3 linked regions of the Medicago truncatula genome follow. The main gene of each other region encodes a partner of the protein of the gene in region 2 in a complex. Links are inferred from orthologs where the notes say so. Each region holds a gene or a part of one and is shown on either strand. Other genes may lie near its edges.

What was found.
Region 1: NAD(P)H-quinone oxidoreductase subunit M, chloroplastic (region 2) and photosynthetic NDH subunit of lumenal location 3, chloroplastic share a complex: the UniProt entries of both Arabidopsis thaliana proteins name them as parts of the chloroplast NDH complex. The link is inferred for Medicago truncatula from reciprocal best matches to the Arabidopsis thaliana genes NdhM and PnsL3.
Region 3: NAD(P)H-quinone oxidoreductase subunit M, chloroplastic (region 2) and NAD(P)H-quinone oxidoreductase subunit O, chloroplastic share a complex: the UniProt entries of both Arabidopsis thaliana proteins name them as parts of the chloroplast NDH complex. The link is inferred for Medicago truncatula from reciprocal best matches to the Arabidopsis thaliana genes NdhM and NdhO.

The regions. Positions count from the first base shown.
Region 1 is NC_053043.1:40,755,341-40,758,655, reverse strand, and holds photosynthetic NDH subunit of lumenal location 3, chloroplastic, read left to right. Parts: upstream 1-948; 5' UTR 949-1,047; coding exon 1,048-1,336; intron 1,337-1,930; coding exon 1,931-2,217; intron 2,218-2,475; coding exon 2,476-2,592; 3' UTR 2,593-2,696; downstream 2,697-3,315. UniProt on the Arabidopsis thaliana protein: NDH shuttles electrons from NAD(P)H:plastoquinone, via FMN and iron-sulfur (Fe-S) centers, to quinones in the photosynthetic chain and possibly in a chloroplast respiratory chain.
Region 2 is NC_053044.1:43,827,502-43,830,972, reverse strand, and holds NAD(P)H-quinone oxidoreductase subunit M, chloroplastic, read right to left. Parts: upstream 2,106-3,471; 5' UTR 1,996-2,105; coding exon 1,537-1,995; intron 936-1,536; coding exon 750-935; 3' UTR 602-749; downstream 1-601. Other genes in the region: probable receptor-like serine/threonine-protein kinase At5g57670, read right to left, coding at 2,982-3,224. UniProt on the Arabidopsis thaliana protein: NDH shuttles electrons from NAD(P)H:plastoquinone, via FMN and iron-sulfur (Fe-S) centers, to quinones in the photosynthetic chain and possibly in a chloroplast respiratory chain.
Region 3 is NC_053044.1:47,466,108-47,469,184, forward strand, and holds NAD(P)H-quinone oxidoreductase subunit O, chloroplastic, read right to left. Parts: upstream 2,007-3,077; 5' UTR 1,931-2,006; coding exon 1,681-1,930; intron 1,577-1,680; coding exon 1,521-1,576; intron 1,428-1,520; coding exon 1,362-1,427; intron 1,272-1,361; coding exon 1,230-1,271; intron 1,081-1,229; coding exon 1,021-1,080; intron 894-1,020; coding exon 864-893; 3' UTR 515-863; downstream 1-514. UniProt on the Arabidopsis thaliana protein: NDH shuttles electrons from NAD(P)H:plastoquinone, via FMN and iron-sulfur (Fe-S) centers, to quinones in the photosynthetic chain and possibly in a chloroplast respiratory chain.

The sequences.
Region 1 (3,315 bases), on a different chromosome or scaffold from region 2:
AATCCATATATAAACAAAATTTACAATGCATACAAATTAAATCTTATATTTAGTCACTCCGATGAATTTATTTGTTATGGATATTTGAAAGAAAGAAAGAAAAAAAAAAAAAAATATATATATATATAGGGAATGGAAGTTTTTTAAGATAGAATAGCCTTTATGGGATTCTCTATTCAAGGTTTTTATTAGTGGAACTCCATTTCAATTGTCATTAGTGATTAAATTCTTAGAGGAACAAATTCATTACAAGATTATGAAAGAATTACTGTTATGAACTTATGAAGAAACACTCAAAATGAAGTTATTATACAGTATATGATATTATAAATAAACTTAATAATATCTGTTCAATATTTTGATTAATTCACATTGCGACAACTTCAATTTATAAAACAACATCCGTAAAAACCCGAAATTGCAAAATCCTTAACGCAACCGCAACCTCGAACACGACCATTATTTAAAACCTTGCTCTCAGTGATGGTAACCAACACATTGGAATGATGGCTGTCATTGTGCATGCTTTTGCAAGCCGAATTTCGCTTAAGAAAAACCAAAGGATTTTGTTTATTTATTTTTTTGTCATGAAATGGGAGTTTCATTTGTCACTTGTGATAGATGGTAATTTCTTTATAGGCCTCATTAATCGCTCAACCTATCAAAACGTATCTTTCGATAGGGTTTATTTTGTTTATAGAACCAGAAACTATTTTCCCAGATGCGTTTTCACTGAATTTTAAGCAATTCAGGAGGCCTATAAAACAATTTTCGTGCTAATAAGAACCCACCCAAAAGAGATACTCTAAGCCCACTATATAAATTAAGTCCACATACATCCTTGACCCCAAAAAAAAAAAAAAAAAAAAAAACACATCAAAACTAAAATTACAAAACCACCCTTAATAATGATATCCTTTCTAGTGCCACTTAGTGGACACCATAGCACTAGCACTTCCCAAATGGATATGTCACAAATTTTTTATTTCCAAAAACTTTAATGAATTATCTATCTTAATTTCTCAAACACTTGTACTCATTTGAGTTATGGCTCCTCTAACAAATTTGCATGGAGTCTCCAAAACTTTAACTCCAATTACATGCCTTGTTCCAAATGCACAAAGAACCTTTAAGACAGGACAAGTAGTAGTTGGATTTCTTGGAAGCAAAACAAAGAAAATATCAGAATGTGAATCAGTTAACACTACAAGAAGAGCAGCTGCAATAAGCCTTGTTTCTTTAGTTCTTACAGGACAATTCAGTGAGAAGATTTCACTGGCTAAGGATAATGGATTTTGGATTGATGGACCTATTCCAGAACCAACTGTCACTAATAGTAAGATTAATTTCTTATTGTTCTTGCTTGTATACATGCATTTCATTGCTCTTATGTTTGTTTTGATGTTATGTTTCAATTGACATTGGACAATTATGATTGGTTTTTTGTTCTTTCTTTTACTATTTTCTTTTATAGTTATGATTGAAAGTTAGCATGGTGAACTTAAAAATATTAATTGTACTATCATGGTGAAGTTAAAAAATAACTATTGACCTATTAGTGAAGTACAATGCCAATAGATATATTAAATCGATGGTTATAGTTAACTTCATCACGATGGTTTAATCTTTTAAGTTCACTGTACTAAATGTCGCCTTACTGATAAGTGCACAAGTCGCTTGAGTTGACTAGACCATACTAAGTGGCTTAGGAGTAATCATGTAAATTGGACCGTAGCATTTAAAGTAAATTTGTAAAAGTAATCCTAAGCTTGAATAATATATAGAATATCAATGTAGTCAGAGAACGTAGACACAACTGGCCGAGCCCTGAGATAAAATGTTGTGTTTTCTTTGTTTGCGTTTTTCGTATCTGTTTACTTTTGAATCAAGGTTCTTGTTCTAACGATGTGAATGATGATTATATGGTTAGATATTGCAAATGAGAAAACTGGGACGCGTTCTTTTATTAAAAAGAAACTCTACATGGCAAATATTGGAGCAAAAGGAAGTGTTTTAAGGATCAAGAAATATGCATTTGATCTTCTTGCAATGGCGGATTTGATTGCACAAGACACACTCAACTATGTTAGGAGGTACCTAAGACTCAAGTCAACATTCATGTACTTTGATTTTGACAAGGTTATCTCTGCTGTCCCAGTTGAAGATAAGCAACAATTAACTGATGTGGCAAACAAATTGTTTGATAATTTTGAAAAGGTATGCTCCTTTTTATATTGCGGTTACATAGAGTCGCATTTTAGTGCTTGATATTGCAGGAAAAAGTGGTCGATGCCACTGTAATCCAAAATATTGCAGACAAATGTGGCTGATGCGACCACAATTGCGGCCATGTTTGTGTTGTGGCCGCAATTGTGGTCCAACGACATTTGTGCTGTAATTGCAGTTGTTGACCGCAATTTACTATTATGTGAATAGATGTTGGGTTAATGAATTGAATTTTTTATGCAATGACAGCTTGAAGAAGCTTCAAGGAACAAAAATCTACTTGAAACACAAGCATGCTATAAAGAAACTGAAGTTATGCTTAAAGATGTCATGGACAGGATGACTATAATGTATAAAACAATTTGACATGATTTTAATTAAGCTGTATTTTTTACTCTTGTCAAAACAATTTTGTGTTTTTGATTGTGTTGATTCAAGATAAGGACGTTTTTACCTTGTAGATAGATAAATGCTATAATTTCAGCAAAATTTTCAAATGTATAATAGTGTTCTTTCTTCTTTTTTTAAAAATTCTTTTGGTTTCAATCACAATGTTGCCAATTCTATCTATAATAAAAATTCTGTTAGTTTAAATAATCATTAATCAACTTCAATTAAAAACAAATTGTGAGGAGAATCCTATTTCCGGTCATAACCGAAGCAATTATTAGTGTGACTTTACTTATCTTTCGATCTGAATTATTGATTACTGCAGTCCATTTCCCTCAAAATCATAGGTTTAATCGAAACAATAAAAACATATTATGCTCTTTTTTTTATTAAAAATAAAATAAAATACTATGCTCACATTGCCACATGTACAAATTTTGGAGTTTGGAGGAGTTAGGAAGTCTAATAAATTTTACTTGGATTATACAACAAGTTTTTTAATATGGTTCAGGAATTGACTCTCTACCACAAGGTACGACTTAATTAATTGACAAGTTAAATATTGTATTAATATTTAACTTGCTTTGCAAGAACTCAAGCTTAGATTGAGACTTATCACCATCAAACTTAGCTATGCTACATGTTAATCCATCAACATACATATGGCAGATGATACGTCATTGTACTCCCATTTCTTTC
Region 2 (3,471 bases):
ACCCAATAACAATAACAAAGACGATAGTTACTAAAGGATCAAACTCCTTGTATCGAAAGTCTTTCTGACAATAATCGTTCGATGGTCTATTTCATTGATGTTGTGGCAATGGCAATGCAAATGGAATGAAAAAGCTTCCACTTGATAGGAAGATTGTTGTGTAACAAGCGAGTCAGAAACTCCATATTAAATGGATAACTGAATATTGAAAAATATATAAGTTAGAGGACTAATATACATAATACCTTAAGATTTTAAATTAAGATTGGTGTCCAACTTGCTCTTGATCCAATGTGATGTTCCACTAGGGCTCTCCTCTTGACATTTAATAGATGCGCTTTTTGAGATGGATATCAAGTTTGTGGTCGATGACTTTAAGCATTCTCAACAACATATCACCGAGTTTGATTCTTTGATTAATAGTGGAGACCTCTTTACATTGTTTAAACTATTAGGTCAAGTCCACTAAGAGACAAGTTAGCATGAATGCTTATTAGCTAGCTAAGAGGACTATTTTTAATCTTTGTTCATAACTTTTATTATTGATGTTCTTACTTATTTTGAGCATTTGCATTGGTTTTACTCAACCCCAAAAAAAATCTGATATTGGACAAGAGATTTTTATTCTATCTTTGATGATTTACAAATTAAAGAACTAGTAATTGTAATAACATATCTGACTGATTCATCATACACAAAAAACATCAATGATTTGCTCACTTTTCTTGGTGTGTTTCACAAATTATTTCTCAAGTACTTGCATCTTCAGGTTGGATATCATTGTTGTTGAACATGATCCGTGGCTTCCCCATGCTGAAATTCAGAACCCTTGCATTCATATTATACTTGATTACTCCATCATATAACAACTTTCTTATATAATGCTCTATGTCTGAACCAATCAAGCGAAGTGTGTATTCATTCAATGGAGCACCCTGTTTTCAATTATCAAAAAGGTTAATATAATTCTAACACTTAATTGGCTCAAAACTAGCACATACTAACTAAAATCTAATTATATTTTTCCTTCTCCTAGGTTTTTGGATTAACAACTAGCACTGTTACAAAATTTAATAAACCAGATACAGAAAAAATAAAATAGTTCTCCTGTTAATATTTCTAAAACTTAGCAACGGAATTATAAACAAATTTTGTATTTTGTCTTTAATTATGGCCGCCAAGTGTAGAACTTTTTTTTTTATCTTAACCATCCAGAGTTTGCCTGAAAGGTAAATAAAGTGGTCTGACTAAGAATTGTTCTCGTCAGGATTTGAACTCGAATACTTCCGAACAATTCACTTTTAACTAGAGTTCATCAACCACTTGAGCTCTCAATCTTAAATTTAAGCATAGACTATTATCTATCCATGTATTGATAATTTATTTTTGCATCAGTTTTCATGTTTTTTCTACATATTTTGCTAAGCAGAAGCCTACATGCTAGTCTTGAATTATAGTATATGTGAATTCAGTATATATGAAACTATTCTAAGACAAAAACTATTGTATATATTTGACTATGTTTAAGGAAACTACCTCATAGTGATCCACAAGCTCCTGAAAGTAAGAATAAACCAAGTTGCAAGTATCAGGATTCCACACAAACTCATCAGTAGGATCAAGAATAAGAGTAAGTTTATCCATCTGAGTTTGATCAAAAGCACTAGTTTCTGGATCAATATAAGCTGCATAGATCCTCACATGTCGCGTGGCACAACTCAACCACTGTCCTCCGTATTCCCTGGTCATGCCTTGATCTTTTACAATCACCTGAGGTTCAACTGGCCTTGGTTTTGTTCCTTTTGGATTAATTTGTTGATTTTGTGGTATTTCTTTCTCTTCTCCTACTTTCACACCATCTGTTTCCTTAACATCAGATTGTTGTTGAGCTGATATGAAAAATGGAGTTCTGTTTCTTACTTCTTTTCTTCTTCCTCCTGTCCAACCTAGTATGGATAATTTGGTAGAAACCATGTAGGAACAACTTGTGGCCATGTTTGATTTAGTGGTGTTTTTTGCCTTTAATGGCCAACAAGTACTTACAAGTGGGACTTATTAGTGTGCATATTGCTTAGCTTCACTCCTTCTGCTATGGATAAGATTTGTTACATAATAACTGGAAGGAAATGTTTGTGGTCACAGAAGAAATACAGGAAATAAAGAGCAATTTCCAATTTTACCCATGCATATGGTTTATTATGAGTTTTAAAATATACACTGTATATATATCCTTAAATAATCCCACCATTGCATTATTACAATTTTTTTATTTTCTTTCTTTTTTACTTTATTTTGGAAACTACACATTATTTTCTTACAGTTTTGGATTTTTTACCAATTGGCCATTTCTCAACCATTTTGGTGCCCAGCATTGTATAAGTGTACCTGATACGGACATATCTCCAGAGAGAAACTAAATATGCATGAAGAGGTTGCAAGACAAATGATATTTAAGTGCATGTTTGAATGATAGTGAATTTGATGAAATTATGGTAGTACTGTCATTTTATTGAAGCCTCAAAGTATTCTTTTTGTTAAAATCACGGTGACACACACCCTAACTCCGTTAAATTCACAGTAAATCAAAACATGCATTAAGTCAAATTACATTACATATGGAAGAATCCAAGCGACAAAATTGTTGTCGTATTATTAGGATTAAGAGCAATGATCCTAATACTCTAAAATACAACTTCTCATCCTATACAAAACTCAATGGAGCAAAACTAGACAGCATTTGAAGTATAATGAAAAAAGGGGTACTAGCCCAACAAATTGAGGAGGCATAGTTTCCTAATTATTAAGGTAAGGAGGAGGGCACATACAAACAACCTCTCATCCTAAACCCCCCATTTAAGAAAAACCATGAATATGCCAAAGCTATATTAAGATGCAAAGGAAAACAGTATCTACAAGATATTAAAATAAAAAGTATAGAAGAATAAAAAAAATTGTAGCAAGCAATATATGCTGTAATTTGCTCAGTCAAAACTTGATGCTCGGCTCCACCTGCCTCTCAAGTAGTCCTCTAATGAAACACTTTGCTCAACACTGTACATGGAGAGTGAGTCATCATCCACATCAAGCAGTGCAAGATTAAGATGTGACTGTATATTACTTGGTGGACATACTTCATCATCGAGCATTTCATGCGCTTCCAAAGCATTGACTTCTAGTCTTGCCCACTTGATTGCATCAATATCGCCTTGAAGTAGCTTTGAAACCTGTGGTCCAATAGAATACATGAGAATTGCAACGGACAAAGGACTAATGAAGGGAATAAGAATACTTTTGATGGTGCTCGAAGGACTCAATTCCCTGCAGTCAGGGAATCGTAAATTCACACAAGCATGTAAATCACGGCCATTGAAAATAATCAAACAGTTGACAGTTAAAACAAAATTATATGGACCTTCTAAATTTTTTTAAGGGCTGAGATCACTTCTGCAGTCACTTCTGACTGCAGAGAAT
Region 3 (3,077 bases), about 3.6 Mb from region 2:
CAATCACATTAGTAAAAAGAAAATTCACTATTCTTCAACATCATTAACTAGGCACATTTGACAATTCAGCTTATGGAACAATAAAACAGGTTGTTGGATGTGTATGGAAGCATCCTGATGCATCGACAGTGCCTTAGCTGTGATGTCGCCGATTTGCACAGCACAGTAAAATGTTGGTAATTTGTTCCAATTATAGTTGATATTTTTTCTTTTAATAAAAGATGCTTAATCACAGAGGATCTAGATTGAGAGAGAGTTCATATATATGATGTTCTATGATGGCAATTGAAATCTTTTTTCTTTTTTTTTTTTCCATCCAAAAGTATCACATATAAATGCAAGTTTGAGGCCAATGACTGGAGAGCAAAAGTTATAAGCTTTTGTGGCATTTTTTTCTGCCTTCAATCTTGGTTAAATATTTGATACCTCAAGTTCTACAATTATGCAATTTTAGTGAAGAGATTCATTCTACTCCCTAACATGGAAAATAAGTTGCATTGTTGAATAAACAATATATAAAAAAACATTTTGTTTTAGTGCTTTATTTGACCTACAGGTGCAAATGAAGTGTATTTGCAGTTGATTTTCACATCTCGTTATTTTTCTGATGATTGCCCTTGATGTGCATCATATCTTTAACTATGTCATTTATTAAAAACTAAAATATAGAAGCATAAATACAATGATAGTCATGGCCGAAAACATCATCTGGGTAGCACAACTAAATTTTCCAAATAATTGACAGTAGTCATTCGAATTGATCACGCAGCTCAACTAAAATGGGGTATGGTGGGCGTCTCTGATGGTATTTTGAATCAATCTTCTTGAATCTCGCATCTTACAATACTAGAAGAAAAGGAGTGTTATAGCCTCTCATAATTGAGCTTCTCTGACTGCAACAAAAAAGTAAGAGTTAGGACTTGGGTGCTTTCAAAGCAACTAAAATGAAAATAGGTCGCGTATATGTAGATAAAGTTAAACAATTTACATCAGATTTCATTGGAACAAGTTAAGCATTACCTTGATAAGCATGTATGTAGGAAGCCAAGCTGGAGCAGTGGGGACTCCTACCCATGCAACCTGAGAATTGAGCAATGGTACAGTTTTTGTGTTAGAATACTAAAACTTAAACTTCAAATATCATGCTGTTGGTATGAAAAATAATTGGCACGCTGTCAGCTGCCTTTGGTTCACACCTAAAACACACACACTATTGACAAGTTACTTACAAGTGCATGCTCTCCTGTTTCAAATATACGCATATCCAAGACCTACAAATACAGTTTGACATTTCTAGTTAGATAAACACTAATCATATAAACTATTTTGTTTTCATAATCTTTTGGTGTTTGTTTGTTTACCTCACCACGGTCTTCATAAATGTAGTCTAATCCTTTGTAATAGGGTGGGTGCCCAACAGAAAGATACTGAAAAATTAACCTTAGTACATGTTATTTAAGTCCTCCTCCTCACAGTTGAAATAACTATAATTGAAACTAAATCAATGATAGTCTTCTTACATTAATGCTATTGAGATATTTCTCCTTGTCCACCCTCACAATCTGACCTTTCTTCACTGTCCAACAATTAACAAAAATGAATAAATAATCACACAGACAGCAGCAGCATTCAGCATACATATAAAATCCAAATAAATAGTTATTTGGTTGCTTGACTCACTGGAATAAACAGGTTTCTTAGGAAGAGTCTTAGGAGCAGTAGTAGAGGAGGATGAGGAAGCATCAGAACTCTTAGGCTGTGACTGTGAGCTGCCACCTGGTTCGCCGGATTGAACTGCACAAATCAAAGGGAAAGAAGAACGGACATGTTTCCTTGTCAAAGTTTTTGAGAAATGGGAAAGAGAAGGGAAGGAGGTGTAGCAGCAGAGAGACACACAGAAAGCCATTAAGAGAGACACAATGCCATACATACAACTAGAGATAAGAAGATGACTCTTTTGTTGGGCACGTCACTATAGTAGTGTGAATAAGAACAAATAATGTCACGCCATAAAAAAGAGGGATTCAAGTGTACCAAAAGTTTTGATCTTTAGAGGAATTTCACATCAGCTTCTAAAGTTTAAAATAACTTAATTTCCAAAATTGGTGCTAGAAATTTTAACGTTGGACATCTTATTTTATTTGGTAAATAATAGACAAATTTATCTTCCAAACAATTGTTAACTTAACAATGAAAATTTACTTGTAACCAAAAAAAACAATGAAAATTTACTCAACCGATGAAAAGTTGATTTGTGGATGTAGGTTCAAATCTCAATGACCTTTTTCACGAATGACTTATAAGTGTTAATTGAATCTTGAGATCTGTCTTGACTCTAGTGAGTCCTTAGAGCTCAACTCTCCTAAATTTGTTTGAAAATTGCTTTTCTGACATTGAAAATTTCACAATGACATAAGTAAAATACTTAAATGCCCCCAGCGGTAGTTAACTACCGTTCAGGAACCGGCAGCAGTTAACTACCGCTGAAAAATTGCTTTTCTGTTCTCTCTATTCTGTTATCTTCCCTACCATCTCTGTTCTTCATTTTCCAGCTTTCATATTCAATGTGTTTGGATATACTTGCTTTTATGTTCTTCATTTTCAAATTCTATCAACTAATAATACAAAAATCGTAACATGATTATTTGCAGATTGTGATCAGATCTCACATATCAATTACGGAGAACCATCATACCCAAAAGATCTAATCTGCTACTAATAAATCCCCATTTTTTCATATTGCAAAAAAATAAAATAAAGTTATTGAATTTATGAAGATCCATCAAAAGGGTGGCAAAAAAATAAAACTTCTCATAAACCCATTTCATAAAAAACAAGAGTGAGAAATTTAGCTCACAGATGAAGCCAATTCAATTCAACGGTATGAAAATTAAGCTAAAAAAACAACAAAAGGAAAAACAAAAACAAAATCCTTGGTGGATTAATAAGGAAAATGAAGAACAGAGATGGGAGGGAAGATAACATAATAGAGAGAAGAATTGGCACCAGCGGCGGTTAACTGCCGGTGGTTCTTCGAACGGTAGTTAGCGATCATTGGAGGTAAAAAAACGTCATTT